4 linked regions of the Danio rerio genome follow. Each later gene encodes a partner of the first gene's protein in a complex. Links are inferred from orthologs where the notes say so. Each region holds a gene or a part of one and is shown in the gene's direction. Other genes may lie near its edges. The genes, in order: chchd6a, apooa, micos13 and immt.

What was found.
Region 2: chchd6a (region 1) and apooa share a complex: the UniProt entries of both Homo sapiens proteins name them as parts of the mitochondrial contact site and cristae organizing system (MICOS) complex. The link is inferred for Danio rerio from reciprocal best matches to the Homo sapiens genes CHCHD6 and APOO.
Region 3: chchd6a (region 1) and micos13 share a complex: the UniProt entries of both Homo sapiens proteins name them as parts of the mitochondrial contact site and cristae organizing system (MICOS) complex. The link is inferred for Danio rerio from reciprocal best matches to the Homo sapiens genes CHCHD6 and MICOS13.
Region 4: chchd6a (region 1) and immt share a complex: the UniProt entries of both Homo sapiens proteins name them as parts of the mitochondrial contact site and cristae organizing system (MICOS) complex. The link is inferred for Danio rerio from reciprocal best matches to the Homo sapiens genes CHCHD6 and IMMT.

The regions. Positions count from the first base shown.
Region 1 is NC_133198.1:37,035,233-37,043,143, forward strand, and holds part of chchd6a (MICOS complex subunit mic25a), read left to right. Parts: intron 1-742; coding exon 743-821; intron 822-1,213; coding exon 1,214-1,310; intron 1,311-2,419; coding exon 2,420-2,564; intron 2,565-7,911. UniProt on the Homo sapiens protein: Component of the MICOS complex, a large protein complex of the mitochondrial inner membrane that plays crucial roles in the maintenance of crista junctions, inner membrane architecture, and formation of contact sites to the outer membrane.
Region 2 is NC_133180.1:4,978,194-4,986,104, reverse strand, and holds part of apooa (apolipoprotein O, a), read left to right. Parts: exon of another isoform or gene 1-168; intron 169-3,103; exon of another isoform or gene 3,104-3,130; coding exon 3,131-3,235; exon of another isoform or gene 3,236-3,242; intron 3,243-7,911. UniProt on the Homo sapiens protein: Component of the MICOS complex, a large protein complex of the mitochondrial inner membrane that plays crucial roles in the maintenance of crista junctions, inner membrane architecture, and formation of contact sites to the outer membrane.
Region 3 is NC_133197.1:19,394,026-19,401,235, reverse strand, and holds the end of micos13 (MICOS complex subunit MIC13), read left to right. Parts: 5' UTR 1-105; coding exon 106-134; intron 135-2,188; coding exon 2,189-2,345; intron 2,346-4,653; coding exon 4,654-4,705; intron 4,706-4,813; coding exon 4,814-4,911; 3' UTR 4,912-5,257; downstream 5,258-7,210. UniProt on the Homo sapiens protein: Component of the MICOS complex, a large protein complex of the mitochondrial inner membrane that plays crucial roles in the maintenance of crista junctions, inner membrane architecture, and formation of contact sites to the outer membrane.
Region 4 is NC_133189.1:18,387,793-18,396,452, forward strand, and holds the start of immt (MICOS complex subunit MIC60), read left to right. Parts: upstream 1-3,627; 5' UTR 3,628-3,788; coding exon 3,789-3,830; intron 3,831-4,919; coding exon 4,920-4,993; intron 4,994-5,301; coding exon 5,302-5,494; intron 5,495-6,798; coding exon 6,799-6,949; intron 6,950-8,660. UniProt on the Homo sapiens protein: Component of the MICOS complex, a large protein complex of the mitochondrial inner membrane that plays crucial roles in the maintenance of crista junctions, inner membrane architecture, and formation of contact sites to the outer membrane.

The DNA.
Region 1 (7,911 bases):
AAAGTTTGTAAATCTTCAGCAATACTGCACAAATAACCTGTAAAACTTCATAAATGATACATGACAAAAAGGAAGATGCATTTTTTTTCACTATATCCATGATTGTTTATCTGTCTGTCGACAAATCATAACATTAATGCTTTAAAATATGTGTTAATTAATTTAGCATATGTACAGTTGAAGTCAGAATTATTAAACCCCCTGAATTATTAGCCCCACCTGTTTATTTTTTCCCCAGTTTCTGTTTAACGCAGGGCAGATTTCTAAACATAATAGTTTTAATATCTCATTTTAAATAACTGATTTATTTTATCTTTGCCTTGATGACAGTAAATAATATTTGACTAGATATTTTTCAAGACACTTCTATACAGCTTAAAGTGACATTTAAAGGCTTAACTAGGTTAATTAGGTTAACTAGACAGGTTAAGGTAATTAGAGAAGATATTGTATAATGATGGTTTGTTCTGTAGACTATCAAAACTATATAGCTTAAAGGGACTAATAGAATAGACATTAGAATAGTTTTTAACAAATTAATAACTGCTTTTATTCTAGCCGAAATAAAACAAATAAGACTTTCTCCAGAAGAATAAATGTTATCAGACATACTGTGAAACTTTCCTTGCTCTGTTAAACATCATTTGGGAAATATTTAAAAAAGAAAAAAAGTTCAAAGGGGGCTAATAATTCTGACTTCAACTGTATATTTATCAGTCACTTTCTACATTTGTGTACTCAGCTGTCTGAAGACGTCTTACAACGCATGAGGAACACCAACGCTGATCCAAGACCACCTGCCAACAATAAAGAAAACCAAGGTATGACATTATTATCGCCTCTCCATCCATAATTGTTTGCTGCTCATATTCACTCTGAACTATTAGACAAGATTTTTAGAATGAAAAAAACTTTCACCAGGTCACATTTTAAGCTAAATCAAATATTCAATTGAAAATTATAATTATCTTTTAGTATACAGTTTTTGTGAATGTTTTTATTTATTTCTATTGATATATTTGTATATCATCTCTTATTGAAATGTAAGTTGTTCTTATCATGTAATGTTTTTATATATTGATCTTGCCATGAAATGGCCATAAGTTGCTGATGTGGCAATAAACAAACATATTCACTTTTTCCCTTATGATATGTAAAATCATTAGTTTGTAATGCAAGTTAATAATTTTTTACATTTAATTTAATCCTGCAGGCCATCAAACTCGAACACCCAGCACATCAGACGCACAAGCTCCAAAAACACAGGCCAAAACGACGTTTCCCGACTCTAAAGAGGAGCTCAAAAAGAGGTACTTCAGTACAGATGTCTAAATCTAAATATTAAACAAAGTTTAATTATTGATACATAATCGGATTTAAATAATATGATAAAATGCAATCATATTACAAATGTGATATTGAAATTCATAACATTAGTATTAAAAAGTAAGTTTACATTAAGGAATACATCTAAATATTATATATACACGTCACCTTAAATGTATTTATTTATTTTTTATTTTGTTGATAACTGACCAACAAAAAATACTTAAAAAGAAAAAAAAAAAAACTAATTATACCAAATTCAATTTGTTACAAAAGAGCATTTTTCCCAACAAAATGAGGCTATATGAAGTGCTAAAAATTGTTTCAATGTTTCCTGTTGCTATTTTGGGGTTTTCATCTATTTTATTTTAGTCTTATCAGGCAACAATCCAAAGTAATCTAAAATTTCACTTTGTGAGTCGTTATTCTAAAGAGATTGTTGCTGTTGTTGTAGCTACTAAATCATATTAACAGGAACAGAAATGAACTGATTCAGATGCGCGTTCAAACTGAAGCGTTCAAAAACGTGCTATAGACTACCATAAAAGGCACTATTTCTACATATAGTTTTGCCACGTTAAAGGGCTCCACAAACTATTAAAATAAAGTCTGTTGTTGCACAAACATGTGAGCATTTTAGTGATTTTTATACATGCAACATCTATTGTAGATAAACCATTAATGATGATACTACCGTTTGTGGCACAGTTTTTTTTAGCCGTAGTGTCACGATACTACCATAGTACTGGTATACTGTGCAACCCTAGTAGGTGTGAAACTGACATTTTCAACCAATTAATTTTTCATTTTCTAAATCGTGCTCCTAATATGACAATACATATATCAGTCGACTAGTATATCTGATATAGTGCTCAAAAATCCCACTAGCAGTGGAGCTCCCAAAAGGGCAGAGACTGCAATTAGAATAGGACTCACTTTTTCCTGGATGCAGTTCAAGTGTGAATCATGAAGTGACAAACAAAGCATGAAACACTGACATGCAGTGGTAGGATTGAGAACTGCAGCGAGTGAGTCATGACTCATGGCTTGGCAACAGGCTTGAAAATCAAGCGGTGTGTGTGTTCCTGCACAGGTATGAGCAGCAGCAGGCCATTATACAGGAGGAATTGGCTCGCATCGCACGCAAAGAGAGAGAGGCAGCGCGGCAGGACATCAGTCGAGCGGTGCAGAGAGAGCGAGCACAGACGCGGCAGGAGTCTGAGAGAGCCAAACAGCTGGTGAGTCTCTTCTGCAAACACTTCAGCACAACACAGTACTTCAGGACTGAAGTATAACGACACAGGCAAGCACACTCTGACTCCACTGCATCCCGAGGCAGCCGGCTTAAATGCTGTGCATAATGTTGGTGGCAAACACATTGCAGTGAATTTATATAGATACAGTTGAAGTCAGAATTATTAGCCCCCTTATTTATTTTTTCCCCCAATTTCTGTTCAACAGAAAGAAAAATTTTCCAGCACATTTCTAAATGTAATAGTTTTAATAACTTAATTGACCCTTCACCAAGCCACACCCAAAAACCGCCACACACCAATCAAGGCTTAGCAACCGTAGCTACGCACAGGAGGCCTGTCAAGCTTTCGAGCGAGGGAAAGAAGCTGATAACCGCTATCCTAAGTTTGGATGAGGTGGTGGAATTTTTTTCCCTTTCCAAAACCTAAAACCCAAGAGGAGAAATTCCAGCGTGGATCAAGCTGTGTGAGGGGCGATAAAAGAGCGGGGTTAAGTTTATTTTGTTTTCGATATTCCTGACACATTCAGGCAATAACTCACACATCTCTTACCCTAAACAGATCAAACTGTGTTTCCTGCAAAAATACAAAGCAGGTTATGTTTCCCAGCTGTCTTTTTCTCTTTTTTCCGCTTGATATTATGAGCACTGCTCCGTTTAAGCCCTCACAGTAGTAGTCATACTATTAGCAATCATGTTTCCATCTGTTTCAAGCTACGAATATTTGAAACTACATATCGACAGAACAAAACAGAGATGTGATCACAATCTGAGCACTTGTGCTCAATATACAGTTGAAATCAGAATTATTGGCCCCCCTTTGATTTTCTTTCTTTTTTTTTATATTTCTCAAATAATGTTTAACTGAGCAAGGAAATTTTCACAGTATGTCTGATAATATTTTTTTCATCTGGAGAAAGTTTTATTTGTTTCATATCAGCTAGAATGAAAGCAGTTATTAGTTTTTTAAACACCATTTTCAGGACAAAATTATTAGCCCCTATAAGCTAAATTGTTTTTCGATAGTCTACAGAACAAACCATCGTTATCCAATAACTTGCCTAATTACCTTAACCTGCCTAGTTAACCTAATTAACCTAGTTAGGCCTTTAAATGTCACTTTAAGCTGTATAGAAGTGTCACGGTAAATATCATGGCAAATATAAAATAAATTAGGTGTTAGAAATGAGTTATTAAAACTATTAGGTTTAGAAATGTGTTGACAAAATCTTCTCTCTGTTAAAAAGAAATTGGGGAAAAAAACGAAAAAAAAAAAAAAAAACAGGGGGGCGAATCATTCAGGAGGGCTAATAATTCTGACTTCAACTGTACTTCACCCGCAGGTGTTTTTCAGTAATTTATAAGCCTCATGTCCATGTCAGAGCTTCAATTCACTGATGTTTTTGGTCTGTATTTTAGAGATTTAGTCATTATAGCGAGTTAGAGTCTGCTTTTATTTTTGGGGTCTGATTAATATTTGCTGGTAGGGAAAATCTGTTTGTTCACTTCTGCTTTTTATACTTTAATTTGCATTTGAATTGCATTTGAAGTCGTTTTTATGTTGCCTTCAATGATTTCCTAAAGATGAATACCAAAAAAGGATGCAACTGGAATAACTAAAGCAGTGACCATCGATTGAAGTGAAGTGCGAGATTGCATATGATGACATATGATGATGAGTGTGGGTGTTGTAGTGGTGTCCTATTTCTCAGGGGTACATTTTGAAGCCCTTCCCCTTCACACTCTGTTTCAAGGGCCAAGGGGAAGGGTAGGGGTACAAAAATAGAATTGGGATTGGGCCTAACTTTAGTTTGATTTCTACAGACAGTTCTGACAGTTTTGGTGACTTTTGCTTGCTTAAAATTCATCTATATCCAGCCAGCCAAACTAGTTCTGTGTTGCATAAATACTTACAAATGTAAAAATTAATAAGTATTCTTATCTGGCTTCATTTTCCGGTTTGAAAGTTTTTCTTTTAAATCAAGTCCCGGAGGCGAGGAGCACGCGGCCCGGTCAAGTCCCCGTCTGTGAAACATTCTGCTGCTCTCTTGACATGGGTGAAATTGGCTTTTTTGAATTCCACTCAGTTTTTTTCCCCTTTGTCCCGTCTTCCTCTTTCTCTCATCCACTTATTCGGGTCCTTTAGGGATTGTATCCCTCATTCACCTTATCTAGTCAATAAGACTTACACGTCGCACGTGTCGACATCTGGTAGACGTGGGATTGAAAAACGTTGTGTGATGTAGTACATGTCGTCCCATGCCCGAGGATCCTTTGGTACGTCTTGTTGGTGTGTGTCTTATCTGAGCTCTGACATGTTCTGGACACTTAATAGAAAAAGCTTCCCCTGGGCTCAAGCTTTGAAGAGTAAACGTGTGTGTGTGTGTGTGTGTGTGTGTGTGTGTGTGTGTGTGTGTGTGTGTGTGTGTGTGTGTGTGTGTGTGTGTGTGTGTGGACGCAGGTAGCGAACGTTATTATGACTCAATTCTCAATTCATTCCTGAACATTGCTCATTCTTTAAACATTTCTGCCTTATTAGCGGATGTGTGAGCATACATACTGATGCCATTCGGATGTTTGTGTGGAGTTTGGTATAGGTTGTCATTAGGGCTGCACAATATATCGTTTGAGCATGGATACCGCAATGTGTGCATCCGCAATAGTCACATTGCTCATGTTGAGTTGAAATTATAGATGGCCAGAAACGACAGGCCAAAACACACAAGATTTGTGGAGACACTGATGAATTGAATCATAATAAAGTGAAAGTTTATTATATGCATGTGTTTCTAAGGCCTGTGACTGTGAGCATTTTAAGAGAGTTTAAAGCATTTTAATAGCGCATAAAGAAGTTTAATAAAGATTTAAATAATTGAATTATTTATACGATCAAGAACATAAATGTCAATCAAAGGCGGCAACACCAAGGCTCCAAAATTACAAATTTATTAAATTGAAAAGGCTGACACAGAGCGTGTCAGAGCGGAGCCTTGGTGTTGCCGCCTTTGATTGAAATTTATTTGCACTTTTTTGCGGTTTTGGCTGAGCACCCAATTTAGAGAGACGTGCGTGCTTTTGTACAGTTTTTTCATATAATCAAGAACATGCAATGTTATTTTACATTTGATTATTGCATTTCTGTACCCAAATGCTGTTCGGCCCTGTTTATACTGCCAGTTAAATGTGACTTAATAAAATTTTTTTGCTTTTACGTGACAGATTGAATCTGTTCTATGACCATGTAAACTTGAAAAAAAAAACGCATGCATTCGGATATTCAGAGATCGGTTTTAGGCCTCCTTCATATATGGAAATAAATCAGATATAACTCAGATATGTGGCAATGCAACAATCATGTAAACAGGCAGATGGGATTTATTGAGGTGTTACGTTTTGTACGCCATTAAACTTGACAATGTGGTACTTCTCCGCAGTTTAATGACGTAGAATGACGAATGTGTGTGGAGATGCTGACACAGTAAACCATAACAACAGAGAAAACATGGAGGAGGAAAGTGGTATCAAATCAATTGTTGGTTTGGCCATCCCAAAATTCAGACCTATTGCATTAAAGCCCACCACAATTTGCTCCCACCAAACCTGAGATCTCTCTTATACCCAAAAATTCCTCTGAATGGTGGAGGGCACCATATATAAACCATAGGCGCAAGCTGCAATGATGACCCTTTCCCTCCTCCGCCTCAAAATCATTTTAAAATTGGTTGAACGTCTCATATTTCGCACAGCTAAAAGCAAGACCTTTGTGGCGCAGATGCAAAAACCTGCTTTTGTGCATGCACGACTTTGTAAAGTGTATGGCATGTGTAAACACTTGAATAAGATATGGGTCACAATTAAAAGAACGTGTAAACGGACAGGCAAAAAAAACAACAACAACAACAACAACAAAAACGACACAGATATATGCAACAAATCGAAATTGGGCATCAAGACCTGACAGTGTAAACGTGACCTTAGACTCTACCTAGAAAACCATAAAGTATGTATTTATTTCACTGTAATATTTGCTCCATTGTGTTACTTGATGACTGTATTTATTATATGTATATAACAAAATTAATGAAAATATGTTAACATTTCACTTCCCTATAAAATAATCTCAATCAATCTAAAGTAATGACTTGGCCAATAGAGGTATTTAAGTCATCTGTTGAAATTGTATTTATATCACAGAGAGAAAAAAACAAAACAATATCGCAATGTCAAATTTTTCCCATATCATGCAGCCCTAGTTGTCATCACTAGTGTGACAACAGATTCTAAAGTGAGTTTGCTTTACAATCCAGATTTTACATTTGACATTAGTATAAATAAAATAAATACATTATAATAAAAACATTTAAAAGTTCTATTCAACATAATTACCTTAGCTGAATAGCTTTTTAAATAGATTTGTAATGTAATGAAGTATCATAAACAAGCCTGTACACAACCTGACAGGAGTCTTGGCATCAATCCCAGATGTAAGAGCAACAAATAATAACTTCTAGTTGATCATTTGGACAAATGGCAGAATGTAGATTTTTCGAGAGGGTGCTCGCTGCAGAGCTGAGCTCCAGCGAGGGGGAGCATGAGCTGTCGCTCCTCCTCCTGTAAGCTGTTTTAATGCGTACACCAACCCCACCCCTAACCCTACCCCCAGTGACATCACTCGTAGAAGAAGTGCAAAAAAGGTGGAGCTCAAGCTTAAGCTCCCCCTCGCTGGAGCTCAGCTCTCCTCAAATGGCTATGCAGCGAGCACCACTTGGATTTTTCTGATGAATCATCTGTTCAGCGTCCCAATCATCACAAATACTGCAGAAGACCAATTGGAACCTGCATGGACCCAAGTTTCCCATAGAAATCAGTCAAGTTTAGTGATGGAAAAGTCATGGTTTGGGGTTACATTCAGCATGGGGGCGTGCAAAAGATCTGCAAAGTGGATGGCAACATCAACAGCCTGAAGTATCAAGACATTTGTGCTGCACATTACATTACAAACCACAGGAGAGGGCAAATTCTTCTGCAGGATAATGCTCCTTTTCATATTTCATTGCTTTCAGGAACTTTGATGTGGCGGCTAAAGGTTAAGGTGCTCAAGGATTGGCCAGCACAGTAACCATATATGAACATTGAACATATGAACAACATATTGATTATGTCTGAAGTAAGATGGAGAAGGCATTGAAGATTAATTCAAAGAATCTTGATGAACTCTGGGAGTCCTGCAAGAGTGCTTTCTTTGCCATTCCAGATGACTTTATTAATACGTTTTTTGAGTCATTGAGAGATGTATGGATGCAGTCCTCCAAGCTCATGGGAGTCATACACAA
Region 2 (7,911 bases), on another chromosome or scaffold:
GTTGTACAGTAAGAGCAACTAATAATAACTTGACTTCTAGTTGATCATTTATAAAAGTGGCATAAGGTGGATTTTCCGGATGAATTATCTGTTGAGCTGCATCCCAATCATCACTAATACTAGAGAAAGAACTACTGGAACCTGCATGGAGCCCAGCTCAAATTTGGTGAAGGAAAAGTCATGGTTTGGGTTATATTCAGTATGGGGGCGTGTGAGAGATCTGCAGAGTGGATGATCAACATCAACAGCCTGAGTTATCAAGACATTTGTGCTGCCCATCACATTACAAACCACAGTAGAGGGCAAATTCTCCAGCAGGATAGCGCTCCTCATACTTCAGCCTCCACATCAAAGCTCCTGAAAGCAAAGAAGGTCAAGGTGCTCCAGGATTGGCCAGCCCAGTCACCAGACATGAACATTATTGAGCATGTCTGGGGTAGATGAAGGAGGAGGCGTTGAAGATGAACACAAAGAGTCTTGATGAGCTCTGGGAGTCCTGCAGGAACGCTTTCTTCTTCATTCCAGATGACTTTATTAATCAGTGATTTGAGTCATGTCAGAGATGTATGGATGCAGTCCTCCAAGCTCATGATGGAGTCAGACACAATATTCATTCTGTCTCCACTGCAGCAGGACTTTATATTCTATACTGGACATTATTTCTGTTCAGTGATGAGACTTTTGTCTGAGCAAAGTCAGACCTTACTGTCCTAATGAAATCATTCATAATCAAGGCAGGATCATATTTTATTGTAGTGAAATAAGCGTCATCTAGAGGCTTTTGCTTTTCTTATGACACTTCTGATACCAAATGATCAACTATAGACGACAAGACTTTTGTCAAGTAGAGGATAAATAGTCAACATTCGAATTGGATCCAAAATGTTGTGCATCATCTGTTTGTATTGTTTTCAGAATTTTAGACGTTTATATCATTTAACATTTAATTTTTATAATAGTATATGCTCTTCTTTTGTGTTTAGCTTGTTTACATTTTGTAGTTTTAATTGTAATACTTCAACTTTTATTATTGTTGTTGTTATTTATTATTACTATTGTTATTATTATTATTTTGTTGCCATGGCAACATTTCAATTTTAACATTTATCTACGATTTTTTTATTATTTTAGCAAAATAATTAGTAGTTACTTTTTTATTTTTAATAGTTTCATAAAATTATTTTTTAAAACGTTCATGATTATTATTATTATTACTGTATTTGCCTTTTATTTGAAAAAAAAATATAAAATTATTTTCAAAACTTTATTATTATTATTATTGTTGTTGTTGTATTTCCTTTTTATTTTTAATACTTTCCTAAAATATATATTTAAACTTCCATTATTATCATCATCATTATTATTGTTTTTTAATAATTTAATAAAATATTTTTTAAACTTTCATTATTATTATTATTGTTGTATTTCCTTTTTTATTTTAATAATTTCCTAAAATATATATATTAACTTTCATTATCATTCTTGTTTTTTTATAATTTCACACAATATATTTTTTTATTTCATTATTATTATTATTATTATTATTATTATCATTACTTTTGCATTTACTTTTTATTTTTAATAATTTTATAAATTTGTAAAAGTTTCATTATTATTATTATTGTTATTATTATCATCATCATTACTTTTGTTTTTACTTTTTATTTTTTAAATTTCATATTTTTTTACTTTTATTATTAATATTATTATTATTATTATTACTTTTGCATTTACTTTTTATTTTTAATAATTTCATAAATTTGTTAAAAGTTTCATTATTATTATTATCATCATCATTACTTTTGTTTTTACTTTTTATTTTTTAAATTTCTTTTTTTTTTACTTTCATTATTAATATTATTATTATTATTATTACTTTTGTATTTAGTGTTTTATTTTTAATAATTTCATCAAATAATTTTAAAAACTTTCATTAATATTTTTTATTAAATTTAAAAACAAATATGCCATGACAACATTTAATCTAATATTAATATTTAATTTTAGCAGAACATCAATTAACAAAAACAATAGAGGCTTTAATCTGGACGCACCATTGCCTAACAATGTTGTGCCTCATCTGTATGTAAAGGACAGCAGATATGGGATGTAAACAGCGTTACGTAACAGCGTTCAACCCTTGTCCCCCACATGAACATCATCTGACCTCCAGTTTCTCCTGCCTTTGTAATGTTCGCAGTTAAACTCAGTGGGCCTTGAAGGTCCTCAAAATGGCAGCATGAGTAGTTTGAGTATGCAATTCAAGTCTATTTATTTGTACAGCGCTTTTCACATTCATTATAATTCCAATGCAGATTTACAAGTCCACATTATTACATTACTCTTCAAATCAGAAAGGTGTTGAGTAAGTTAGTGATAAATAATAACAATTATTAGCTACACAATAATTAAATTTGCTGTTTGTTATTTTCAAACCACTTATTTAAAATGAGCCAAAACAGCTAAATTTTTAAGGGGGATGTTTTACCTTAGTGCTCAAACTTAATTCCTTCTTGTTGGCCCAACACAAATCTATTTTATTTTGTGGAACCCAGCAACTTTTAGTTTAATCTACTTAATTTCTCCCCATTGGGATATTTGATTTGCAGCATACACCGACAGAGACATTTGAATATTTCATAATAGGCATTTATATAAATAGATCAATTTTCAAACTAAGGCACCACTAATCGAAATAAACATCCAGTCCACTGACCATTAAGAGGAAGAATTAAAAGTGTAAATGCTTCAGGGATCAGTTATAATTTCCACCTTTTCCTTACACATCTGGGGACACAATATCATTGACCAGATGGTAACAGTTTGAAGGTGTAAACAATTACATTGGTGTGCGTTCACGTTTACTCTGAAAAAATGATTCATTGGATTTATTAAGTTTGTTTAAGGTTGCAAACAATCTATATGGGCTGAATTGTTTGCAACCACTTACCTTAAAAAGTTGTATGTTAGTATATTAGTGTGTCATTAATATTTCGTGCTGTCCTTATAGTGTGTAAATGTGTGTGTCTATATGGTATTGACTAGGAAAGCCATGTTGACAGTGAGCACAGACTCTGATAAAGAGGTTATTTTTCTGTCTGACCGGTTTGTTGGTGCTCTCTTCTGATAGGCTGGAGGAGTCGCTGGAGCCTCTGGAACTCTGGGATTGTTTTCAGCCTCAGTGCTGGCGGCGTCCGCTGATGACAAGCCCAAAACAACACTCAGTGTAGAGGAGGTAAAGCCTGAAAATCAGCTGTGAAGAAACTAACATGAGTACACAGTCAGAAATAAGGGGACAAATCTGTCAGGGGGTGAAACCTTTTCAGAAGGTACACTTTTGCACGCTACAGGTGAACATTAGCACTTTTAGGGTGTACTTTTGTACCCTTAATGGTCCTGTGAAAGTTTTTTAAGATTTTAGGTTAAGTCTGTTAGTTTTAAGGATATCTATTAGCTAGTATGCTACAAAACAGTGACAAGATACACATTTAGAAGATGTAAAGCTGATATAATAGGGGTGTAACGATTTATCGTTGTACGATTTATTGCGATGCAAAAATGTCTCAATATGCATCGTGGCGTTATGACGATTTGATTACGATATGACGTCCGTTTTCTCTTATTAGTTGAGCTGTTTGCATGTGAGCTACGTTCCACCTGCTGTCGCACGTGAGTTCAGATTGCAGCAGCAGTAATGTTAGCAGACCAAGATGAGTGAAGCTGAAATAGAGGATGGCCCATCCTCTCAAAATCAGACGTCTGGCAACATTTCGGTTGTCCAGTCATTGCTTTAGACTCGTCCGCTTTTTGACACGCATACTGGGTCAAACATCCTAAGTTTTAAAGTCTTCACAGTGATTTACATACTTTGCACAGTGACAGAGATACCTCCTAATGGTGTTGAAAGAGTCACATACTGTATTTATAAGGTACAATTCACCCTAAAATATCATTCTGTCTTCAAATAATGTTCCCGCCGCAAAATCACACATGACGTGAGCTGTTACTACAGAGGGCGGACTTTGATAGACGCGCACGTATGGCAAGCCGTTTTAGCATTTAAACCTTTGTTGTGACTATCCATAAATATATTTTGAGATATCTCTAATTATATTTTGACTAGACATAATTATAATTCGACTAGTCAGAATGACAATTAGAGATATCTGCAATTACAATTGTACTAGTACGATATCAGATTGAAGATATCTGCAAAAATATTATGACTAGTCATATTCCTCCATTGACTTCCATTGAAAAATATTTGCAGATATCTCTAAATGAGTTTTGACTAGTCACAATTGTAATTAGAGATATTTCTAAATGAATTTAATTAAATATGAATTAAATACCTGGAAATGTGGCTAATAAGTTCAATAATGGCTAGTAATGTTCAATAATATTTTAAGAAGTTTTTTAATTGTTTTATTTTCCAGGGACAGGCCTGTTTAATTTATTTTCGTAAAGAAGGTTCAGTTTAACAAGTTGAAACAAAAGAAATACATAAAAAATAGTTTACTTGGTAAAATTTGCATTTCAGTTTAATTTTAAATTTTTATTCCAAATATCGTGATACATATTGAATCATGAACATTATATCGTGATACACATCGTATCGTGAGCTGAGTGTATCGTTACACCCCTATGATATAAACATGTAAAGCTTGCAGTTTGCCACTTCCGCATTAATGGATCTTTTTTTTACCTCAGTTTCCCATCAAATCTTCTGACCAATCAAATGCTCTCTAGTATCTGATATGCCCTGTCCCCTTTGAACCACTTTTCGTGTGATGTGCTTGAGCTCAAACATAGAATAAAACATTTCAAAGCACTTCACGGTCGATGTACCGCCCCGTTGGGGTGAAGAAGGAGCTGAGCTGAAAGGCAAAGCTCTCGATTTCCCAGTCGATCTACTCTCCTACTTTCACCTATGGTCATGAGCTTTGGGTCATGACTGAAAGGACAAGATCTGGGATACAAGCGGCCGACATGAGTTTCCTTCACAGGGTGGCAGGGTGGCACCCTTATGGACAGGGTGAGGAGCTTTGACACCTGGGAGGAGCTCAGACTAGAGCCGCTGCTCCTCCACAGTGAGAGAAGTCAGCTGAAGTGGCTCATGCATCTGTTTCAGATGCCTCCTGGACGCCTACCTAGGCAGGTGTTCCAGGCATGTCCCACCGGGAGGAGGCCTCGGGGGAGACCCAGGACATGCTGGAGGGACTATGTCTCTTGGCTGGCCTGGGAACATCTCGGGTTCCCCCCGGAGGAAATATCTGGGGTTCCTTCCAAGACTGCTGCCCCCGCAACCCAGCCCCGGAAAAGCAGTTGAAAATGTATGAATGAATTAATTCACGGGAGTATTAATATATCCCTTTAAGGACCTGTCAGGAACAGAACTGTTCCTTTTAATAAGGTATCGCCCAGGGACAGACCTCTCTTTCTGGGTCTATAAAAATATATCTTGTAAGTTGTTTTTTTAATTGATTTGTAATAATTATTATTATTATTTATTTTATGTAAGTATTTTTTCACTAAACCTGTCCGGGGTAAGTTATGGGTTATGGGGTTTGATTTACTGTAAAACTCAAAGACATGTTATACAAAATGAGTAAAAGATAGTGAGAATCAGAGTATTAGTTTAGTTACTTGTTTTAGATCATGCTGGTTTGAGATTTAGTTCATGCAGTGAAGGTGAGATTTACCACTGAACCATAAATAAATGGAAAAGAGTAAAAATGTACACAAGCTTTTCAGAATTAAGGCAAGGCGTTTATTTTGTAAAGCACATTTCATACTAAATGTTTATTCAGAGTGCTTTACATGAGAAAATTGTTAAAACGAATTAGAAAATAATCACAAAATAAGTATAAACGTTTATATTTTAAATAAAACAAAGAAAAAAATGTTTAAAATAATTAAATCTAAAAATATGTAATATTTTTTTATATAATTATATAACATACATTTTTATAATAAAAAAAAAACACATTTAATTGCTTAATTACATTTTTTTATTAATATAAGTGAGATCCAAGATGATGACCTGCCACAGATAACTGTCCCTGGCGTCTGGCTTAGATCAAGACTTTTTATTACGTTTGACTGAACATCAAATCTGTTGGAGACGTTCAATAGATTAATAAGTAGCGAAAAAGTCCACAGAGAGGGGGTGATCACCAGAATGGAGAAGTCCCAGAGTAAAATGAGAAAATATGATACACCGGTGTTTTGGAATGTGGAAAAACTGTATCTGATGGAGCAGTTAAAAGATTTAACTTGAGCCATCACCATACTGGTAGATCTGTCTTTGTGGGATAGCAGCGTAATTAATATAAGTGAGATCCGAGACGTGACTCGCCACAGATAATCTGTTGCAGGGGGGTAAAGTCTCTGGCTGAGATCAAGATCTTTTATTTGTTTGGCTAGCTGTAGGCTGTACTCACACTATGTAAAGTTGTCTTGAACCGTTCCGAATCACGCTTGTCCCCACTCTAGTCTCCCCCGACGGCCCGCACTCACATTGTATTCAATCCTGGGCACGCTTACATCATCGATGATGCGCTGTTCAGTAAGAAGCGCTCTCTCTCAGCACAGTGGAGATTTCTTTAGTTATATCGCTTTAGTCATTTGGGATGCGGTGACACGCAGTCAAATAATTCGACAAACTAATCAGCCACTTTTGACGCTCATAAGCAATCATAAAGTCCTCGTGCTGCAGGAATTAGGAGGTTTGCTGAAGGTGCAGCTGTGGTGCAATGAGGGGTTTGCCTCTTTAATAATCTACGAAAGTTTGCGTTCACTGAACAGTAAGGCCGTACTCACACTAGGTACAGTTGCCTCGAACTGTAAAAGCACGCTTGTCCCTCCTCCCGTCTCCCCCGATGGCCCGCACTCACACCACAAACGGGCCTCGGCACGCTTACGTCATCGCTGCTGCGCTGTTCAGTGAGAAGCCCTCTCTCACTCAGCAGCACAATGGAGATTTCTCTAGTTATACAGTTTCAGTTATTTGATATGCGGTGACACGCAGTCAGATATTTCGCCGAACAGATCTGCCACTTTTGCCACTCATAAACAATCATAAAGCTCTCGTGCTGCAGGAATGAGGAGGTCTGCTGAAGGTGCAGCTGTCGTGCAGTGAGGGGTTTGCGTCTTTAATAAACTACGGCAGTTTGCGTTCACTGAACAGTAAGAATGATTAATAAATCCATGTGAAACAGTCCCTTAAAAGTCACGTCTCACTTTCAGTTTCGGGCTTTGGTGCGTTTTGCACTCACACACAAGCGTACCGCGCCAAAGCCCAAGTGAACCGCGCTTAGGCACACCTCTTCCAACCGGGCCAGGGCCGGCCAAGTGAACCGGGCTTGAGCCCGATTCAGCTCACTCACACTTCTCAAACGATCCGAGAAACGGGACTGGGCACGGTACGGATGGCATAGTGTGAGTAGGCCCTAAGAATGATTAATAAACACATATTAAACAGTCCCTTAAAAGTCATGTCTCGTCTTCAGTTTCAGGCTCAGGCATGCTTTGCACTCACACTACAAGTGTACTGCGCCAAAGCCCAAGTGAACCCCAATTCAGTGCACTCACACTTCTCAAACGATCCGGGAAACGGGCCTGGGCATGGTTCAGATAGCCTAGTGTGAGTACGCTCTGAAGCGATCTACTCCCGGTAGGGGGTAGAAATCAGGGATCGTGCGATTTACTTCCAGACGGAAGTTGAAGTTGGGGGGCACATGATTAGAGCTGTAAAGCTTAACTTTTCAATTTTAGGTGAAAAATCTAATCTGTAGGAGACGTCCAATAGATCAATGTAAAAAAGAAATATGTAAGATACTAAGGCCGTACTCACACTATGTACAGTTGTCTTGCACCGGGCCAAAGCATACCTGTTTCCCCTCCTGTCTC
Region 3 (7,210 bases), on another chromosome or scaffold:
TGCCCTTGTCGGTGAAACTCGCTGACAAAATAGTAAAACAAAGCATCCTGTGAAGTGTTTTGATACGAAATATTGTTCTTTAGAGCATAATTTTGCTTTTAAAATATGGCTGCTAAGATTTTCCCTGTCGTCAAGTAAGTGTTTATGTGTTGTTTTTGTATCTGAAGCTGGTTGCTAACTAAGTTAGCACACAAGTGTCTGTTTGGGTTTAAGTGTTTTTTTTATACTTTATACATTATTATACTTTATATAATTATATTATATATATATATCTGTATTTACATTAAAATTAAATTACCTCGTATTTTAGTTGCTATTTTTACCTATAATGTCGTTTAAATATAGCTAGCATGCTAATTACTCAATTCAGCAATAACTTTGACAGTAAAAATGTTAAATCCTGTTTTGTATTAGAGTTAATCATATATATTTTAAGTAATCATCATATATTTGGGGTCATAATAACCTGAGAAGCTTGTAAACATGCTCTCTTTCCTTCAGCTTTAACGTACTTTGAATGGCTGTATTTGTGATGAAGGTAAAGTTGTTTCCAGTCAAATAAATAGTGCTAATGTTGTTTTCGAGTCATACTTGCATATGATTTCAGACAGAACCTTCAAAATAATAGAGGTAAAGTTGGTTTTATATTTAGACATTCTCCTCGATAATATAATTATCTTTGCAAATTTTAAATGGGGAAATCATACTAGCAGAATTAGGATATCTTGCGTCCAAAAAAAAAAAAAAAAGTTAAGAAAACGGCCGTTTTTCGGTGTTTCTTTTGATTACAAAAAAACATGATTTTAATAATAACTTTTAATCATTTTATATATATATATATATATATATATATATATATATATATATATATATATGTATATGTATGTGTGTGTGTGTATATAAATAATAACTATACTATTTATATAATTACAAAGTTTACATATTCTGTCATTTGATCAGTTATGAGGCTTACATTCATTGCGTATGCATAAATTAAATAAAAACGTAAATTAGCAGTATTATTAGACTTTTGTCAATAAAATAAGGTCATAGTTCGCTGCCAAACATTGTTGCTGTGCACGCTGTCAAGCTGTGCACCTGATGCTGAGCAAAGATAGCCATTTCCGAGTAGCACCTGGTTTGCATGATTGTTTCCGAGCAAGGCCTTGACAGTAATAATAATAATAATGTTATTATTAATAATAATTTATGTTTATAGTTCACTGCCAAACTTATTGCTGCTGTACACCTGATGCTGAGCAAAGATATACATCTGTGAGCAGCACCTGGTTTCCATGATTGTTTCAGAGCTACTGTAGGCTTAAATAATATAATTATTATTGTTATTATTAATAATAATCATTTTAGCACGTGATGCCCACAGAGAGCACTATGCCAAATTAAGTTCTGTTTAACCTATTTCTGCTTAAATTGTAGAAAATCTTTAAAACGACATGACTAATCAAGACTTTTATTTGGAGAATTACACTTATTAATAACTTGGTTCTTATAAACGATCATTTTATAAAATACATTATTTACAGATCTACTGAAGAATAAGACGAATGACATCAATAACTATAATATATTAAGATTTTATATAAACTATAAATAAGAACATTTAAAGTAATAGAACATTATCTGTAAAACAAATCTAAACTGTTATATAGGCTACAGGCTAAATAAAGGCACCTTGTCAGAGATTTACATCGTGTGCGTTAAAGAGGCAATGAATGTAAGCCTGATAACTGATCAAATGACAGAATATGTAAACTTAGTTTATATAATTATATACATATAACTAAATATTAATAATTCAAAGCCTGGGTATTGTCCTCAGAGGGCTCTTATTTTGGGGGCTACGTCACAAGCTCAGATTTGGTTGACCAATCAGAGGAAAATGGACATTTTAGCACCGCCTACATGAGAATAATGAATTTTAATTGTTTTTTTTTTTTTTTAGTTAAAAAATGGATATGGATTTAATTTAGCAGCCAATGATTATCAAAGTACAGCATTGTTTACAGTAAATTTGATGGTGCTAATGTTGTTTTGAAGTCATACTTCCATGCTAATTCTGACCTAATATTCAAATTAGCATGGAAAGCAATAGAAACAGTTAAATAAAGGAATGTGCAAATATAAAACCAACTTTACCTCATTGTATTTGTGTTTCTTTATGTTTTAGGTTTGCAACAAAAGTGACCATTGCGGGAGGAGCCCTGTATGTGGCATATGATTCAGGACTTCTTGGAGGTAGTAATGAGGGATCTGTGGCCTTGGCCCGAGCTAAATCAGCCATACCACCTGCTGTGGATGAGTGGATGAAGTACTTTGGCTTCGAGGTATGAAAAGAAATGAAACTAAGTGTATGATTGATAACGAAAGTAGAACTTGACTTTTTGATGAAGTGTAAGGCTACAGTATATGGCAGATGGCAGCACTGACATTATTGAATAAAAAGAGAGATAGCGGGGAAGTCTTTTGGGTAATTAAATAGTCTTGATGCACAGAAGACTGTTTACATATGGTATTAAAATGCATCGCAACACCTTCACACAAAACTCACGATTTCAGATTTTAAAAAAAGAGCATTTCATAAACTAAGGATGAAACATTTACACACAAATGAATCACAGTTTCATGGTTTTCATTGTTGACGCGCTAGACTCAGATGGAGGGCAGGAAGTGATTCTCCTACATAGGAATCGCTATCAGAACATCAATTGTTCTGCAAACAAATGTTTGCATATGTATGTAGACTGTATATATCAAGTATGTAGACTGCGTCCATGCTTTTGTATGCTTTCATGTCTGCGTGGGGAAAAACTTGTAATTTATAATAAACATGTTTTTGAACCACATAGTAAAGTGTATAACGTGTTTAACTCTTAGTTAACGGATGCTATAAAATACTGTAGCATAGTACACTGATAGACTGTAATAAATACTGTAACATTATTATAATCTGTGGTGCATGGTAATGGTGTTATAGTGTAGAAAACTTAAGCCTATTCAATAATTTGTTTATTGCTACAGTTGTGTCATACCACAGCAACAATATAATTACTACGACAGTTTAATTCAAGTAATTATTTATTGTATGCTTCCGGACACTAGTATATACTATGGTATTTTTTTCATGGAATGTAATGTATTTTAAATATAAAAATATTTTAGCTCAGTAGAAAACTTGGTCCTCTTCATGATATAAGGATCACGCTCGGCATATGTGGTTATTTTCTATTTATATCTTCTTTAAAAAATGGTATAAATCCCAAAAAATGAACTTTCTTCTATAACTCTCATTCATTCATTCACCATAACCATGTGATTGAAAACAACCTTTTTTAATTTATTATTTATCTCTGCTCAGTAACCAAATAATACAGCTCAAAATAAAATTAAAAGAAAGAAATGTCAATTTATCTCTTTGAATTGAAGAAAAGTGAAATCTTTTTCGACTTAAACCCAATTAATATGTTAACAATGAAAACAAAATGATTTTGTCTATTTGGGAATTAATATACGATGTATATAAAGAAAGCAGTTAAAGGATGCTGGACAAACGCGTTTTTGATCAACTGTTATACAAAATTGTTCTGTATGTTCATTTTGTGGATTTATTTAAACTTTTTGGACCCAAGTAGTGTAAAAAGACAACTAGTTAGCTTTAGTATTATAGCTACCTCACCTTTTGAAAATTAAAAAGGATATCTGCGGGGCCTTAAAATGTCTTAAATCTCAAAAGCTAAATTGTAGACCTTAAAAAGTATAAAATATACTGAAATGTTGTGTTGTTGGTCTTAAATCTTTTTTTTTATTTTTCCTTTGTTCATTTATAGCTACCCAATCTGGCCATTGACATGCATACAATCACCAACAGTACATCTCAATAAAACTTTATATTTAAAAATAGCATTTAATTATTTTCGTTACAGCAACATTTGCTTAAGAGTTCTTATAAGTTTTTTTTTATTATTAAATTATTATTATTGTAGACTGAAGTAATTGACTGCTATGTTTTGTTTTATTCTTAGGGTTATAAGGTTTGTGAATGGATGTATTTGAAAAGTACAAAATTATATATTCAAACAAAATGATTATTATTGTTTTATTAAATATATTACATTTTTATCCTTTTTTTAATAGGGCGAGTGAAAATCTTTTTTAACTGGGATATTAGAAAAAAAAAAAATTCATAGCATTTCACCCAGTATAAGTCTTAAAATTTATTCATAATGCTCTTAAAAATGTCTTAAAATGTCTTAAATTTAACTTAGTGAAACCTTCAGAAACCCTGATTTAAGTGAATTTGAGAATTAAAGTTTTGTTTACAAACAGCTTGGTTAATCTCTGCATCTTTATCAACAACTTGTCTTGTCATTTAAGAATTAGGTCAAGTCATTTTGTGTGCATTCGAATGCTTTTGACCACTTGAGCATTTCTACTACAAGCAATCCAATCTGGTATAATCAAACAGGGCCTCACACTTCTTGTAAATAAAAAGTCTTAACTAACCTTTGAATTGCAATAAGTGTTTTATTTTATTTTTATTTTATTTTATTTTTTTGCTAACCAAATACTTCTTCATATTATACCATGTTTTATCAAAGTCAAACTATTATAATGATCTTTAATATAATATTTTAGCTTCCAGCAACCCCCAAAATTGAGTTCTCCCCATTGGATGCTTGGAACTCAGGTAAATGCCTCTGTATTTAGTGACAATTATATGTAATTAATTTTACTACACACAGTATATGAATATACTATAGTTATGTAATCGCTCCATTTCTTTCCCCCAACTCAGGGGTCCAGAAGTCTATCCACGCTTTATCGGTTGCTCCGTCCACAGTTGGTGACTACACCAAACAAGGCCTGCAGTATGTCAAAGACCTGTCAAAATGAATCTTCAGCATTAGTGTAATATGCTATCAAGAAATTTCAATCATTGAGAAGACTTGGACAAATCAAGAAGCGATTTCCACTTCATATATACATCACAGACTGAATTCCACTCACTTTTGAGAAACAACTATTGGAAATAATGAAGATTATACTTGTGCAAACCTAAATATGTCCTTGTTATTGCACATGTTGTCCAGATAGAAATACAATTGTCAAAAATGAACCCTAATTTCAAATAATAAGAGCGCCTTCTTTGTGTATTGTTACTCAACACTTGTATTTATTTGGGAAATCTTTTCCTGGAAATGCTCTGTTCTGGTATTGTCCCATCTGTAATTTTACAAAAGCACTATAACAGAGGTTTGTATAGTTTCCTGTATTGCTCTGTCTAATGTAAAAATATATTGCGTCAAATATTTTGAGGGATGTCTTTTTTTTTTCTGTGTGATTTGCATGGTTCTACTACTACTTTACAAGAAAATGACGTACGGAAACAATTGGATGATCAGTTAACCACATCAAATGCTTCATTAGTAACACTATTCATTTTTACCACAGAGTAAAGCTGCATTCGTGTGAAGTTAGACCTCAACCCCTTTTTTCGCCTCTTGACTCATTTTGAAAGTCATGCAGAGGTCATTTATATATATTTGTATTACCAGAAAATATGCTCAGACCATGTGTGTGCCTGGAAACTATTTCAGTTTTCTTCGTTTTTTAGTTTGTTGTGCCCTACATAGTTAAGCAAGAAAGCAAAGCATGTGATATGATCAAAAATGTCATGTACCACAATATACAGTCTTATCGTGATTGTTTTTAATCTGGGTTTTTAGGACAATTGGGGTTTAAGTTTCTGAGAATTTAGACCTTAAAGTGCTCAAACTTAAAGTAGAGCTGGACGATGTTTTAAATACGTTTCTTAACTTTGGCCAATACAATATAATTCTGATGTCGATCTTTGGATGAAAAATACATTTTTTTATTGTTAGTTGCAAAGTAATTGATTTAAGAATAGTGTTTTTATATATTTTTAAAAAAACTTCTTGCATTGAGTGTTGTGTTAATACTGTAATTGGTGAAATCTGTCTTTTGGTGCTGACTTTAATATCAATGTCAAGCACATCCTGCTTGCCTTTGGGGGTGAAAATTAATATTTTTGATGAATTCTGAGAGCTCCCTCATCCAGACTTCAAGTCACAATATACACAAATATCCTGAAAAAAAGAGCATGTAGTGGTTCAATCAGAATATTATGAATATTATTGTCCTCAGTGTCATTATAGGGTGCGCATTGACCAGAGCACTACTGTTTTCATGCATGTCGCACTCAGTTGAATGCATCCATTGTATACGTCAACGCACATTTCTTGTAAATGACCCCCCTATACTGACAAAACTGATTGGAAAAAAATAGTTTCATGTGCATGCAAAGGAATTCTTGTAGCATAATAACATTCTGAATAAACCACTGAAGCTGTTTGGTCTGTTTTGATACTTTTAGGAACTTTAAACAGATTGTCACCATTGCTATATATGAAGGATAAGAGAGCTCTCAGATTACAATTTGTATTTCGAAGACCAATGAAGGTCTCACAGGTTCGGAATCAGAACAAACTGAGGGAAAGTAATTAATAACATAATTTTCATTTTGGAGTGAATTAACCCTTTAAAGCAGGGGTCACCAACTTTATATTTGGATATCTATCTTCCTGCAGATTTCAGTTGCAATTCCAATCAAACACATGTCTGTAATTATCAAGTGCTGTCTCGGGTCCTAAATAAATGGGTTCAGTTGTATTTGATCAGGGTTGGAGCTGAAAGGTAGAAATCAATGGCTGTTTTCACCTGTTTACTCCATGCGTATTTTTATTTATTTATATTTTCAGGTCAGATAGCTATCCAATCATGATATGGGCAGCTGTAAACGTCCTCTGAAACATATTTGAGTGTGATATAAATCCGATCTCCTTTGCAGGAGTTACAATATCCAGTTCTCAAAAGTCTTGTGCACAAATGTTCTCTGTGTGTTTCACGGCCTTCTTTCAGTGGCTTCAAAATTTTAGTTTTTCCCCTACCACGCATTAACGTTTCTTTCTCAAAAACACAAACACATACAAACATGCTGCTTAAGTATTATTGTAGCCTAACTTGTGCTGTTTACAGTGTTATCACACTTTAGCCATTAATATGTTTTAAAGATACTGAAAACAAGACAAATGTCAGTGCATGTCAAAACTTCTCCAGAGCCCCAAAACACCCTCAGACCCCAGAGGGTTAATGCAGCTTTAAAAAAAAAAAT
Region 4 (8,660 bases), on another chromosome or scaffold:
CTGCAGCTTCCATACTTGGATAGCTTCTACGAATACAGTTTGAAATTGTTGCGTTACGCAGACACCACTACTATCGCCTCATGGGTCCGGGCAGACTGGACCTTCTATTCTTCTCATCCAGCTCTCTTCCTCAGCACTTATCTAGCCCATGGCCTTCTCATCGACTACTTCGAGAAAAAAAGAAGATGTAGCAACGAAGACCAAAATGCAAACAACCTAGAGTGGCTGTCAAGTCTTTGGGATTGGTACACCAGCTACTTGGTACATCCTATTGCCTCTTTCCAGAACTTTGAGTCAGACTGGGATGATGATCCTAATTTCCTTTTGGAAAGGTTGGCATTCCCAGATCTCTGGCTTCGCCCACTTGTTCCGATAGATTACATCAAGAACCTGCCCACCTGGAAGTTCAGACTCCTACAGCCTGAAGGCTCCAACCTAGCAGACCGCGACAAACGGCAGAAAGCCACGATGAACCAAAATGAGGACTCCAGTGGGAACAAGGAAGCGCATCAGTGCAGTTCAGACGTTCTTCATGATCATTACGGGTGTTCAGCTGCAACCAAGTCAGAAGAGAGTTGGTCTGGTGGAGAGGAACAGGATACTGATTGGTCTCAGTGGCCTTGTGGTATGCTTCACTGCACCGAGTGTGTCGTATGTCTTGAGAACTTTGAAACGGATTGCCTTGTCATGGGTCTACCATGTGGCCATGTTTTCCACCAGCAGTGCATCGTGGTCTGGCTGGCTGGAGGGCGGCACTGTTGCCCAGTGTGCCGGTGGCCATCATACAAGAAGAGACCCGTACGACAACGTGCAACTGAACAACTCGATCCAGAATAGCCCATGCGTGATTCATTTACGTCTTGCTTCCTGCACTTATTTAAAAAAAGGAAAAACATGACTTGATGTGTCCATCTTTAGTCTATAGATTCATAACATGGGTTCCTGGGGTTTTTGTTGGTGGTTTTAACTTGCACAGTCATTAATTAAATTCATACTTCCCAATATTTTTCAATAAAATTAAAAGAAAATGCTAATTTATGCAAATTATAACATACTTAATGGTAGATTCAACACACATAGTTGAAAAGCTTCTGTTTTAGCGCCCACACATCATACATCCCAATAAAACAAAAGAAAAATCCATATGTTCCTGTACCTGAGAATCACAGTTTGTGTTCAGTGTGTTTCCAAATGTGAGTAATCTGTCTAAAATTAATCGGGGAGAATAAGATTCTAGGAGATGTGAGCCTTTATATAAGGTTTACTCTCTGGGCATGTAAATATGATTAAATTTTTTTTTGTAAGGAATTACAGCTTTACATTACTTGAGTAAAACGGCCCTGTGCAATTGAAAATGGCTTAGGCACTGAAATGCAATTAAAGGCTCCATCTTCAAATAAAGTTGTCTTGTGGGAGCATGTTTTGTTATTTTTAACAGCATTTTGCCATTAACACTAATAAAGACTTTACACTTTGACGTTTGCTGTTTGTCAGGGTGTAAAAGTAATTTGGGAACCTTTACCTGTAATGACATTAAAATTCAATAAAGTCCTGCTTTCTCACCAGTGGTATAGTATCTATGAATTTACTTTTTGAAATAAGTTAAATTCTACCATTTTAGAGCATGTTACACCAATAATCTATAGGGGGCAAATATGTCTATATCAAATGTTTCTCAACCACTTTCCTGGAGGCCCACCAGCACTGCATGTTTTAGATCTTTCCTTTGTCTGTCAGACCAGTTACCGGTCTTTCAGTCTATTCCAATGAGCAGGGCCCGGTTTTTTAAAAGTAATCCACTAGGATTTTGGATAAGGGATTGGAACAAATCTTGAAAATGGGTTTTTCAAAAGAAAAAAATGGATTACTAAATCAGATTAGATTATGTAATCCAATCTTGATTTTGATCCGGATCAAACCTTGAGTTTGGGTTTTTCAGACCTTTTTTGTAGGATTTGGATCACTTCGATCCAAAAAAATCTGGATTAAACTCAGAAGGGTGGATTCAGCATGGATTTTATGCCCAAAATGTAATGAAAACTTTAAAAAAGTATCAAATAATTACTATATTTGGATCATGCAGTATCTTACAAGATATCCTATTTATTCATAAGGTTTTAATTGTATTTGTTCATTCATTAGGCTACAGTGATTAGGTAGGCTTTATCGTATTCAGCCTTTCAGTATAGGCCTACAGCAAAGTAGAAAGAGTTTGGCCTCATAAAATAATCCCCCAAACAGCTATCTAAATTGACTAAAAACAAGAAATTTGATTCTGTCACTAATTTATAAATATATTAATCACAATGGTAAAATATTTTTCTTTTCAGAATATTTATTAGGGATGTATGCAATGATTACAGAATAAACAAAACAAAAAAAAATGCAAAGAATGAGAATCTCAATTTTTTTAAATCACTTTTAACTATTGCAAAAAGAGACTGAAAGGGCAGAAGCACAACTTCATCTGGCAGAGGAACAACTGACTCTGACTGACCAAATTGCAGCAAACCAAGGCCATACTTGAGATTCGCCTTCTAGCTGGTCTCTCCTCATCAGACGAGGAAGACTGAAATTATTGTGAAGGTTAGACATTAAGTCTTTTTTTTTTTTATTCAATACATCTATATTTGAAACTTGTTATAAATATCCTCAGTGTACAGTGTTTGTGTTGTAGGTCTCAGATGAGCGTACTGCTGGAAGAGGATAGGGTGGGGTTTTTCTCGTTTTAAATTTTTATTTATTTATTTTTTTTAAATGTGTGTGTTTTAATTTCAAATAAAAATAAAGTTATATTGACCCCACACTGGCCATTCTACTTGTTGCACTTTAAATATCTATAGTTCTACATTGTGATTTCCCATCCTGTTTGAGCACTGGTTATCCACATTTAGTGATCCTGAAAATTTCCCATCCGGATCAGATTGATCCAATCCGATGTTGCTTTGAAAAACTCAAATAGTAAACTGGATTACGTGATCACGGATCGCAAAAACAGGATTACTAAATCCAGATCTATTTTATTAAACCTTTTGAAAAAACGGGCCCTTATGATCTGTGTGTTTGGTTAAGGGAGACATGGAAAATGTGGAGAGACTGTGGTCCTCCAGGAACGTGGTTGAGAAACACTGGTCTATATTACATAAATCACACATAACCTACACAGACATAGATTTTAGGTATATATATAGCCTTATATCTCCTACAATAACTGATCATGGTAGCATCCACAATATAGTACTGTATATAATAAAAAATAAAGTTACTAAAGTTATGGGAACATTTCACTGATCTATCTTGTATAGACAACAATTAATATTGAAAAAAAATTACTTATTGTTAAATTTACAAAATACATTAGCTAATTTTTACTAATGGGACCTTGTTGTGAAGTGTTACTAAAGATTATTGAGAAAATGCCATATGCCAGTAATTGTCATTTGCAAGGGCTACTTACCTATATTTCAGCGATCTCAACGAAAGCTCCAAGCTATCTATAATAACAATAACCATGTATTTACTAAAAGTATGAGCATATTTTCAAATAAGAAGCAAATAAATCTAATTATTTTCCGTCTTTACTGTGAACTCGTGACGTATTAAGCACGTTGGGTGTGCCTACCGCGCATGCGTTGCTCTGTCACTACGTTCACCGCCAGTGCTGGAGCTAATCTACAGTGTGCTGGGACGAAATTGCTGTTAAGGTTGTTCACTTTTATGATGTGTTGCTGAAACCAGTGGCATATTCCTGATCTTCAATCCAACACTCAGTATCCGAAGTGGCAAGCATGCTGCGCGTCTGTTGGAAAGGGGCACATGCAGCAGCGCGGGTAAGTTTCTTCTGCTTGAGCGGTCATTCAGTGACCCACAGCGAGGCCCTGCGTTTTAAAGCGTACAATTAAACTGCGGATTATCATAAACCCTACATTATTTATTTTATTAACCTATATTTATTAAACTTCATAACGAGTTTATGGTTTTATTTGTTGCGACTTGTTATTTGCGGTTTAGATGGAACACAGTGCTAGAAGTGCTGCTGTACGTCAACGACGTAACGTTGAGAAGAAAGAGGCGTTTACAGTTTGATAGGCAAATTCTTTCAGCCAATGAAATGTCACTATTAAGTGAGTGACTGCTTTCTCCACCAATAAACTACCTCATGTGTACGTCTGCGTAAATGTGGGCGGGATGTGTATGATTCATTTTTTCTGTCACCCGGATAACCAAGCTAGTCAACAGCTGTCTGAAAATCTTAGTTTTACATGAGTTCATGTCTGTTTTACATACAATTGTGTTTTACCAGAACCATTTTCATGCCAAGCGTATTATGATAGAGCTGTAACGCTGTTCTGTAAACACCGTGAAACACACGTTTTGTCCAATAGAAGGACGTGACCTTGCCAGGGAAAGTTCAGAAAGTTTCCAAGACAAACGCTGCCAACATGTCTATTGCGTTTCTATATGTTAATTAGTCAAATTAACAATTGTTAATATGTATAACAGCTGTTAAAATAACCAACATCTAAATGTATACGCATTAAAGATTCATTTTAAGCATTAAAGATTCAAAAGTTCATTCATTCAAAGTTCATGTTTTGAGAAACCACCAACACACACAAATTCCAAATAGAAGTGTTATTATTTAGAGCATACAAAAACAAACAAACATTAAATTAGCTCAAAATAAAATATCCGATCTTTACAGATATACAAACTGCACAAAAAGATTACCAATTTGAAACCCGCTGAATAGCATTCGCATTGGAAAGATGTGGCTCTTTGTATTTAATTAACGTTTATGTAAGACAATGCTTGTATTTAGTGTAAACAATGCTATTTTTTATGTACTTAATATTTTAATTCGTCATTTATTTTGTTGTAGAGCATGTGAGATGATTTGTTTGTTTGTTTCTCTGCAGCAATGTGTGTGTGGTAAAGTGAAGGCCCATCCATTACAGCACTGCCGCAGATACACCACAGCAGGAAACTCTGGGTATAAAATCAAACAATTAATTTCCACTTAAACAAAAGTTTACTGTGATTTGTTTATACGCAGATTTGTTTATTTTTCTTGTAGTTAATTGGACAATTATTAAATGAGTGACTTCTCAATCATACATTTACACTTATCCATTTGGCAGAAACATTTATCTAAAGCATATTACATTTCATTTATGCTGCATATGTAGACATTTTTTCTATAATGTCATAGTTGTCAGTCCCTATTTTGTATCACTTGAGCTAAAGAAATGTTTTTATTTATTTATTTATTTATTTATTTATTTGCTTATTGTTCTGCAGATCCTCCGCTGGGAAAATAGTGGCTGCTAGTCTTTTAACAGTGGGTGGTGGTCTTGGTGGGACTATCCTTTATGCCAAATGGGACCCAAAATTTCGGTCATCTGTAGAGAAGAGTGTTCCCTATTCGGATCAACTATTTGACATGGTGCTAGGGGCACCCCCTTCTCCACCCGTACCTATACAAAAGAAACCGGTAAGTGAAAGGGTTACGAACAACCAAAACACATTTTTTGAGCTGTTGACAGTCATATATGTGTCCCATGCTGCTAAAACCACTATTTGGACATATATTACACAAAGAAGTGAAAATAGGGTGTTTGTGCGTTACTTCAAGCAAATTCATTGTTCCAGTTTGAAACAAATTTATGAAGCTGCGTCACGCCGATTAGATCCTTGCATGTATTTCAGCATAGAGACTGGCTTTCTATACCTGGGAGTACTTTGTGACCTCTCTGAGTGTGCTGCATTCATTCATGACAAAGACTTGGTTCAAACCAAACAGTGCGCTCTATTGTGTATGCGGTGCAACTTCATTAATATGCATGATAGCTTCGAAAAAGAAAGAAGAAGAAAACAAGTGGGAGAAGAAGAATTGTTACCCATATGAGAGATACGGGTCATCTGTGTTGCGTTTTTAAATGTCCTGCAACGAAGGTTTTGTTTTCATTTTCCCGCTATGAGAGCGCAGCTGGACTCGCATGTAGATTACACTGCACGCAACACGCGGCAGAAATACGTTTGTATGGAACATTTTTTACTCGAGAGCTTGGCTTTCCGCATTTGCTGCTTGTCTCCTTTTAAAAAAGACGCAGCTCCAGTTGGTGTTGATTCATCTGTCTTTTTATTTTTTATTTTTTTATTCAAATGGCAAAGTTAATTCGTATCGTCAGCAGTACTCTTTCAGTGTTTAAAGACAGACCTTAGTCAAAATCATTTCGAAGCTTACAGTACATTAATATCACTACAATATTATGGACTGAAAGATCTGCTGTAAATGCTGTTCTCTGTAAACATGTAAACATTAAAGACCGTCATGTTAATTTCGATGCATTTTGTGACAGGATAGTCTACACACAAACGGCTTTCTGACGACGTGCGGTATCAAACATTCAACAGTCATTAAACAAAGTCTCTGTCTTTCTCCTCTGCATCTGTGTGTTTCTTTTGCCTCAGTGAAAATCAGCGTGTGCGTAAATGAAAAATCCCATTTTTATTCAAATCCTTCCATCTTTCCCTGCCCCGTCACTCCCACCTATACCGCGCTAGACACACCCACTTTCCTGACTTTTTCCAAACTAGAGATGTGAAAACACGCTGTTGAAACGGGGGTTTCATGGCCCTTTAAAATCACTTTAATTCTTAAAGAAGACACAAATAATATGCATTCTGTAATTAGATTTAGCTATGCAACTATGTGAGCATATTATTATTATTATATAACTGATTTTAATGACAGAATCAATGATGTTGGCTAATTTCGTATTTTTATTGAATTAGGAGACTGTCAAACCACTGCAAATCTCTTCATTGTCAGAAGCAACTAAAGACTCCAAACAGCCTAAAGCTAAAGCCAAGAAGTCTGATCCAGCACCTCCACCTTCTGTAGAGGAAGCTCCAGCACCAGCGCCAGCACTTCAGTCACTGGAGGGTAAGTGGGACTTGTACCTTTCTCAAGGCTAATTTATACTTTTGCCCAGTGCCACGTCGCAAACCTCTTTTGAATGCGCACGCACCTCACGAAACGTACATGCCTTTTATACTTATATAGAAGCCCACCGTGAAGTCAGACAGATAAACAGAGAAGTAGAAAGTTTCCCGAACCACGTCATATCATTAACATAGTTCAACATTTTTAAATTTGTTAGTTTTATTATTTTTTATAATTTATGTTAATGATTATAAAGATTTTTAAAATCATTCAAGATTTTTTAAATCATTATTTGACACATCACTTGCTTTTGTTTATATCTCGGACAGTTCTACCTATTAAAGGTAAATATCAATGACAACAGAACATGGGTTGCTCTACAAATATATTTTTTGTTATGGCATAAATAAAGGCCAAAAAGAAGTACATTTACTAAAAAATACTGACATTTTTAATAGAATAAGTCCACTTCACAATTCACACATTATTGTTACTGTCTGGCTAGTTTGTGTCCTCTGCTTTTATACTAAAAAGGCAACACTGGTCCAATATTACCTTTTAATCATTAACTTCACTTTTGCCATGGTCTTTTTTGGCTGTAACAAATGTATCTCTCAGGTTTTTCCAAACTTTTCTCCTTTCTCATGGCTGTTGCAATTTCTAGCTAAGAATTATTGACCATTGGGTTATCCCTAATGATCATACAAGGACAGATCCTAAAGATGTCTGTACAGTCGTACCTGCTTTAGACAAATCTCTTCAAAGTGATTCATATTCAACCCAAATGAAATGTGGCGCTGCTTGAACTGTTCGCTCGAGTCTCAAAAAATTATGTCGCTCACACGCAAAGCGAAACTTTGCAAACACAGTGATGATGTCACATTTGCTGTGCGCAGTAGCGAACGCGTTGGTTATAAACCAGGCTTCAGAACTTTCAGATGTGCAGCAGTTACTCCCTAAAGGCCCTGGTATGCTTAAACAAAATCAATAAAAGTATTGAAATGGCATAATTTCGAACAAAATCAGGCCAAAACGATGTTCGATTTGAGTTTGATTCCGCAGTTCGAAACAGCTCACCAAAGCCAACTTTTTGGGGGTGTTTGTTCTGGCTCCTAAACATCTTTGAGCTAACATTGGTCTGTGATGATTATGCAATTGGTGGGTGTGTCTTGAAACTCCACCTACTTTGACATGCTTCATATTCACAGAGTTCAGAGTCAGACAGGAGAAAAACAGCTAACACAACAACGCTTAGGACCCTATCATACACACGCCGCAACAAGGCGCAAGATGTGTTTGGCGTGATTTGTTGCTGATGAATTCTTGCACGTGACTCTTGCAATTTTCAACTGGGTGCCTCTGGGAAATGCTCATGCGCTCCCAATTTTCTTGTGCGCAAGGACGCGATATGTATAACAGCCCCATAAGCAGGTACTCTTCTCTTTACATTCAGAATATAACTTTACTCTCAATGCTGCACACAAAAAAATAATTTTGCCTGTTTTGGCTTAGTTGGGCAACCATGTTTTTGGGTGCAGGTGTTCTCCTTGGTGACGAGTATTGTCATAGAATGATTTCTGTTCAAATGCTTGCACAAGTTGCTGATCGAGTTAAAAGCAGTCGAAAGTTATTTAGAGACTGGACATAGACTGCATTTTACAGCAATAATTTTTTTTAAGCTCAATAAAATCAAAGTAATGTCTGTATTTCC